Linked DNA regions of Drosophila melanogaster. The gene in region 1 interacts genetically with each later gene. Each region holds a gene or a part of one and is shown in the gene's direction. Other genes may lie near its edges. The genes, in order: cype and ea.

What was found.
Region 2: of cype (region 1) and ea, changing one enhances a phenotype caused by changing the other (phenotypic enhancement), as found in Drosophila melanogaster (one study listed by BioGRID).

What each region holds. Positions count from the first base shown.
Region 1 is NT_033779.5:5,325,234-5,328,620, forward strand, and holds cype (cyclope), read left to right. Parts: upstream 1-1,993; 5' UTR 1,994-2,053; intron 2,054-2,055; exon of another isoform or gene 2,056-2,117; intron 2,118-2,269; 5' UTR 2,270-2,273; coding exon 2,274-2,443; intron 2,444-2,510; coding exon 2,511-2,574; 3' UTR 2,575-2,736; downstream 2,737-3,387. Other genes in the region: Ncoa6 (nuclear receptor coactivator 6), read right to left, coding at 719-733; CG14022 (uncharacterized protein), read right to left, coding at 2,842-2,956, 3,020-3,146, 3,337-3,387.
Region 2 is NT_033777.3:15,326,606-15,330,964, forward strand, and holds ea (easter), read left to right. Parts: upstream 1-2,123; 5' UTR 2,124-2,327; coding exon 2,328-2,388; intron 2,389-2,477; exon of another isoform or gene 2,478-2,574; coding exon 2,575-2,961; intron 2,962-3,025; coding exon 3,026-3,756; 3' UTR 3,757-3,803; downstream 3,804-4,359. Other genes in the region: CG6236 (uncharacterized protein), read right to left, coding at 1-47, 105-708, 771-958, 1,025-1,175, 1,322-1,440; mRpL9 (mitochondrial ribosomal protein L9), read left to right, coding at 4,149-4,220, 4,278-4,359. UniProt on the Drosophila melanogaster protein: Component of the extracellular signaling pathway that establishes the dorsal-ventral pathway of the embryo.

The sequences.
Region 1 (3,387 bases):
CTGCGGTCTCTGGCGCTAGAGCAGGATGGCCATAGGGCACTCGTTGGAAATTCCAACAACAATTTGTTTCGACAACAGTCCCCAAAGATAATGCGCTTGAATTGAGTAACCCAAAAGACAATTCAGCTGACTGCATTTTCCACGCGCGGCATGCCAAAAGGGGGCGGAGCGGGTCGGGGCAGCTGGTGCCCACAGGTTGCATTTTCTCATGCGTGCGTGCGTTTTCCTTTTCTCTCTGCGGGACGTGTTATCGATACCCCGACGTCGTCGCCATTTTTCTTCTTGGCCTCTTGGAAGGCGGTGCGCCGGTGTGCGTGCTTGCTCGTGTACGTGTGCTGGTTGGGCAAGTGTGTGTGTGTGGCAGAGGGAAAAGGTAACCAAAATACTTGCTTGGCACTAAGGCGGGGGGTAAAAAGGGGGCGGGCTGATTAATAAAATAAAAAAGGGGGAACCGAAAAAGAGAGATGAAAAAATAAACACGGGAAATGCGAGATTCTATACACTCGAAGCCAACCAATTAGTTCACCCTTTTCGCCGCCTATTGTTTTTGTTTTTATACCCGTCTCTGAGTGCGTGGGTGACGCAAGTGTAAAATGAGCAAAAGCGATGGCAAAAACAGACAAGAAAAGGGGGGAAAAAGAAGCCCACTTGAAGTGCAATAATCGCAAATCAGCTGTTCCGTTGCGCTCCACCAAAAAGCGAAACACGATAAACTCACCTGTTTAAGTGGCATATCATCACACGACAATCGCACGCGTCGTAGGTTTAATTGTTAGAACGCTGCTCAATTCTCGCATTTAGCTTTCGATTGACCGCCGTGGCGTCCTTTGGATTGAAATTGTTGGACCAATTGCATTATAGGCTTGACACTCGATGGCTTCGGTTTATTGTCTTTCGATGTAATCCGCACTCAGTTTTTAACCTCTGCGACTTGGGTTTTTGGGCATTTTCCACTATTATTTTTTTCTCTTCTCCCCTTTTGCTTTTTACTTTTTTTTTTAGTAGTAGCCTCACCAACACACACACTCACATGCACTGCAACACACACACTCACACACACACACGTGCGGGGCGCGGATACGGATTTTCCTGCGTCACTTTTCAAGCGCTTTTCCTGCTGGAAATCTTGCGTGCCCGCTTTTCAATTGTTGTTTAGGGCAAACTGAATACGTTTGGGCCCCCACTGTTCTCCATTTCACAATCGCTGGCCAAATAGTAATGCCTGTTTAGCGGAACTCGAAAATTTTCACGCATTCGGGCAGCCGATTTTCGGGGGCTTAATTTCACACGGTTCGATTGCGTGCGGGCACTTGATAAACGCACTGATTGCTGTCGAAAGATTCGCGCTTGTTTTTCAACCATCAATTGGCGTTGCAACGATGCGTTTATCCTGTTTATTTTGTACAAAAAACTTCGTAATTATTAAATTTCCACGAACAATAACAAGCACACAGTGGTAGCCATTTTTATTTTCCAGCCGGTGTTGCCAGACGTCCGCGGCCCGAAATTCCCTAAATTTCCCGACATATTTGTGGTTACCAGGGCTGCGAAGTAGCCTGTATTGGAAATTTGGCTCGAGCAGAGTTGTCAATTGTTTGGAAATTGTAATTTTATTTAATTAGTGCTAATAAATTTATAAATAAATTGTATTGCTATATTGTCTTTTATTTTTAAACATGTTTAGCAATCATAAATATAATGGTAACATAATTTGAACATGTTCAATATATAAATTTCATTCACAAATATTTTTCCTGCTTTAAACTATTGATTTTAGCTGGCCTCATAGCTTCCAGATGAAAAATTTGAAAAGTTATTACTTAACACACTTTTCTCTTAATTCTGCGTATTTAGCCTCAAAATCATTTTATTATTAAATGAAATGATTCTGTCAAATTGTCTAGGAGTGCTTTTTAATATATATTTTTATTATTTATTTTCCAAAGATCAATCGATAATTTCGCGAATGCTGCCACCTTCTTCGAATAAACGATAGTATTGAATAGAATTTGTTTTAGGTTCCATCTCTATCTCAGATTCTGAATTTGCAAATGTGAGTACATAACAAGGTTTTTCTTTAAAAAACACGGTTCAAGGGGTTTTGGAACTTAAAAAAAGTAATTAAATATCATACCAGTTGGCCATATCAACTCCATAAATTTCTGGGGAGAATTCATTAGTTGCTATGCGTTTAATGGCAGCTGCCTTTGAGCACCTTACGTAACTACCGAGCAATATAATTGATTTTTGTGATTTTCATTCTTTTCAGCGACATGGCCAACACTCCAGCCACCTCCTCTGCCGGACCCGTGCTCCGTGGCCTCCACAATGCCACCATCAAGCGCAACCTGGCCGTTTCCCTGGGCCTGACCGCCGTGGTGACCATCGCCTACAAAATTCTGGTCAACGATCCCAAGAAGGCCGCCTACGCCGACTTCTACTCGTAAATATAGCTTAACTATGCCACATGAATGTCATCATCTGATCTGTTTTATCCATTATCCCTGCAGGAAGTACGATGCCAACAAGTCCTTCGAGCGCATGAAGGCCGCCGGTCGTTTCCAGTCCTGCTAGGCTATGTTATCCCAAAACACAAGTAGTCTAAGTCAAATGATGTTGTAGAACAAGAGTTGCGCTTCTGTATTGAAAACTAAATAGATTTCAGTCTACGTACGTGCACGAAGGCGTTTTAATTTAGAGCTATCTTGTATTGCCAGCAAAAGTAAATGTGAAGGCAAATTATGATTAAATTCTTTATTATTTACTCGTATTTACAAACTTAGCCAAGTAATGCACAAAACAAACACACAAAACTATAAGGCCACACAAACCGGACCACATCTAAAACCTAATGGCAAAGTCCTTGTAGTCCAGTCGGCTGAGATTGCCCTGGTTCCGGACCTCACAGCGATCGATTTGGCAGCCGGGTGAGCCCTCAGTGGACAGCCAGGTGATCCTAAGAGTAGATTTAATCAGAAAATATTAGCATGGAGAGTGTAAACTATTCCGGTTTACTCACATCTTGTCCACCTCCTCCTTGGGCCCCTGCATCTTGCCCACAATGGTGCCCTGTTTGCTGTTCTTCACCCAGCCAGTGATTCCCGCCTTGGTGCAGCGATCGCGGGTGTCTTTCGTGAGATTCAGGCCTGCCGGTCGAAAAAAGCAATGGTATATGTTTTATATAGTCTCTAGTGCATGTGGAATGGGGCGTGAAACAAAGCCAAGGACAGTTTGGGGCCCCAAAGTAACTAGCTACTGAGGGTTTATTTTTAGGCAACCATTCGAGAGAGCTATGCTATGCTTGATTCCCGATTCCTATTTCCCATGAAACCACACCTTGTACATGTCCATAGACCTCGAAATCCAGCGTCACCAGCAGTCGGATAT
Region 2 (4,359 bases), on another chromosome or scaffold:
TGGAAGCTGAAGGCAAAGCGCGGTGCATCGCGATACTTAAGCATAAACTGTACGAAAATTATACAATGAGTTAGTTTCCAAGCACATTTCGAAAGAGAACATACGTTTTTTGTGTACTCCAGCATGGTGATGTGATCAGGCTGGTGGCCAATGCAGTTGGGCTTGCTCTCGGCGGCCATGTGCTCCGCCTGGACATAGTAGGTACGCAGGTAGTGGTCCACCGGCTGGGCCTCAAACCCTGTCATGCGGTACGTGAAAGTGCCCACATTGGGCAAATCCTCATTAAAGGAGGTCATATATCCCAGGCGGGCAAAATCCTTCCAAATCATAGGATACGAATCCACGCTGCCTGCCCCGGACAACCGCTTCCTTGTCTCCGGCAGCTCCAGTTCCGTGAAACCCGTCAGTAGGGGCACCAGCGCCTGTGGCGTACCATCGCCCACAATGTTATAGCCTTTGAGAACGGTGGCGCCCAACTGTTGGGTGAGATACTCGTAGGTCCTGGGCAGCTTGCGAATGAAGGCATTGCGACTCAGCGAATCGAAGCCAAACATGAGGACATTGTAGATGGGAGCTGTGGCCCCATCCTGCATCTGCTGCTGGGCCTGCGCAACCGCCTCGGGTGGTAGGACGGCCAAGTTCGGGGAGAAATTGGAGGCCGGTGGACGGGGCACCGTATCCCGTATTCCGTGGGCCATGCCAAACCAACTAAGTACATGAAGATCATTCTTTAAAGTATAGGCATAACTATAAAATAAGATAATGGTCACCTCTCGCCGCTGGAGGATCGACAGACCACCTTGACAAAGTCGCTGGCCTGCAGCACATAGGGCTCCTTCATGCGCAGTGACTGCCCAAAGCGAACCTTGTAGTCCGACTTGCGAATAATGTCCGTGTAGGAGCAGATCACATCCTCGTGGCTGGACGCAATCTCTGGTCGCACAAAGCAAATGGATTTCTTTGGGGGAAACGAGGTTTAAGTTAAGCAATCAGCTCTTGTAGAAGGGGCCCAGTCCCAACCAACCTCACACATGACCCAGTCCATGCCCTCGCCGCAGTTTATTCGCTCAACCGGCTTGTAGAACTTCATGATGTCCGGATTGTCCAGCGGCAGATGGGGATGCCGGCACTCGCCACGATTCACAGCCGATCTTATGGAGCGCTCGATGATTTCGCTTTAATTAAATACAAAATTGAATTAGTTGCAAAAGATAAATACTCTTTATCACAAATATGCGCATATGTACATATACATATGTATGGACAAACATCGTACAATCAATATCCCAAGCCGCTGTGACGCACAACTAGACATACTTACATTTTGAGGCTCTTATCCAGATCCCGCTCCACGTTCAACACATACCAGGTGACCAGCAGGACCACCACACAGCAACATGCTGCAATCTTGGGGACAGTTCCCCGCCGCACAAAGCGCATTTTGAATAAATTATGAGCTGCAAATATCGGACCAGACACATGAGACTTGCATTCGCATTATTGCTGCACATACAGCACTCACTCGGCACTCAAGCGACGTACTACTTACACCACTGCCGATCTCCAAACTTGCCGCCTATTCGACCTTTACTAAATATCCACGCTCATTTTTTAAATTAAACATTTAACTTATCACCAGCTGCGACGTACCGCTATATGCGAGTTGCCAAAACAGTGGCAAACAACATTGCGAATTCGGTCATACTGTGTTGTTTGGCAACGCGACCGCTGCAATTTAAACTGCGACTTTAAACTTTGCTTTAGGTCCGATTTAAAGTCGGTAGAACTTTCAGTTTGCTGTAGAACGAAATATACCGTTAGCTTATCGTTAATGATAGTGCTTTTTGCTATCAAAACACCATGTGATACAATCGAACTTAGGCGGGGATTAAATAATGGTAGATACTCCCTTAAATTTGCCGAGTACTTTACTTACACTCAGCATGTGACAAAGTAAATTCTATTAGTACCAAAGTTAAATAAGCCAACTGACAATTACTAAGAATAATAATTGGAAGAGAGATAAAGATCTGCTCCCACGATTATCTTCATATCTGATTTGGAGACTCGCCAAAAAGCTTGCGACAAAGCTCGCAGGCCGAGAACCGCGTCCGTCCGAAGATTCAGTTGTGCGCCAAGCTCAGCTTCGGCCTCTTCGTTTCACTCCGCTCCGCTGTGGCACCTGGTATCGTCCATATTATCGCGCCGTTTATTTTGATAACTGCTTCTGCGGTCGGTCTGTAATATTGTTTTTAGGCAAAACATTATCCGCAAACCACTGACGACGTCTTGAGAAAGGACTAACGAGGTCCGATTGCGCAACGAAAATGCTAAAGCCATCGATTATCTGCCTCTTTTTGGGCATTTTGGCGAAATCATCGGCGGGCCGTAAGTAAATAGAAGACTGCCAAGATGCTCATCTGCTGGACATGACTAGCTTAACGTATTTGTTTTTTTTTGCCGCGGGCCTTCACAAGTCGCTGGAAACCTGTTTCCGTACTTCCATAGCTAATGACCTAATTTATGTATTCACAATATTGGTAAGCTCTCTGAACCTAAAGTCTGGATTTCCAGAGTTCTACTTCCCCAACGAGGCGGCCCAGGTGCCCAACTATGGGCGCTGCATAACGCCGAATCGGGAGCGTGCGCTGTGCATCCATCTGGAGGACTGCAAGTACCTATACGGCCTGCTGACCACCACCCCGCTCCGGGACACGGACCGGCTTTACCTGAGTCGCAGCCAGTGCGGCTATACGAACGGCAAGGTGCTCATCTGCTGTCCGGACCGCTACAGGGAGAGCTCATCGGAGACGACGCCACCGCCCAAGCCCAATGTAACCAGCAACAGCCTTCTGCCGCTGCCAGGACAATGCGGCAACATCCTGTCCAATCGCATCTATGGCGGAATGAAGACCAAGATCGACGAGTTCCCCTGGATGGCTCTAATTGAATACACCAAAAGTAAGTAGAGGGGCATCGTCTTAAGTCTGAACGCACTTATCCACTGGTTAATTCCTACATGCAGGCCAGGGCAAAAAGGGTCACCATTGCGGCGGATCCTTGATCAGCACAAGATATGTGATCACAGCCTCGCATTGTGTCAACGGAAAGGCACTGCCCACCGACTGGCGGTTGTCCGGTGTTCGTTTGGGCGAATGGGACACCAACACTAATCCCGATTGCGAAGTAGATGTGCGCGGCATGAAGGACTGCGCGCCACCGCATCTGGACGTGCCCGTGGAGCGTACTATACCCCATCCCGACTATATACCGGCCTCCAAGAACCAGGTCAACGACATAGCCCTGCTGCGTCTGGCCCAGCAGGTGGAGTACACCGACTTTGTGCGACCCATTTGCCTGCCTCTGGACGTCAATCTGCGGTCGGCCACCTTCGACGGCATCACCATGGACGTGGCCGGCTGGGGCAAAACGGAGCAGCTGTCGGCCAGCAACCTCAAGCTGAAGGCAGCCGTGGAGGGATTCCGGATGGATGAGTGCCAGAACGTCTACAGCAGCCAGGACATTCTCCTCGAGGACACACAGATGTGTGCCGGCGGCAAGGAAGGCGTCGACTCCTGTCGCGGTGACTCCGGGGGACCGCTCATCGGCTTGGACACCAACAAGGTGAACACCTACTACTTCCTGGCCGGCGTCGTGTCATTTGGACCGACTCCGTGCGGTCTGGCCGGATGGCCAGGAGTTTACACGCTGGTGGGCAAGTACGTTGATTGGATACAAAACACTATTGAGTCCTGATTGTAAAATGTCATATTGTAAATAAATTCGACTAACGGTTTCCGTTTAAAAACTGCTTCACAGCGTGTACGCATACTGCATGTCGATGGGCGCGTTCGCCGAAATATTGGCATAGTCAATCTTTTATTTTGTAATGAAACTATTAAATTAAAATTGACAGTCATAATACTTTCAAAGGTACATTTTTTTTAATCAATTAAAAGGTAAATTGGGCAAATTATTTTGCTTTATTAAAATGTAAAGAAATAGTTGCAATAAAAAAACTAAATTCATAATCGTTTTCAAAGTCACTGAAAATTTTACTGCTGAACTCACGCAGATTAAATAATCATATCTGGCAACACTGCAAACTGGCTGAGTAGTCTGGCAACGCAGACATATTGGTGGTAAAAATGTTGAAGAACATCTACGTAACGCCGTTAAATTTGCTTAAATCGGCCACCAGCCTGCAGCAGCAAGTGCGGGTAAGTGCTCTCCTGGATTAGGGAAGCGATCCCCATTCACCACCAATTTGCTTCCAGACCACGTTCGTCCTGAAGCGCAAATATGACCCGCCGCTGCACAAAACCAACGAGAAACCCCGCCGGATGAGGGCCAAGAACT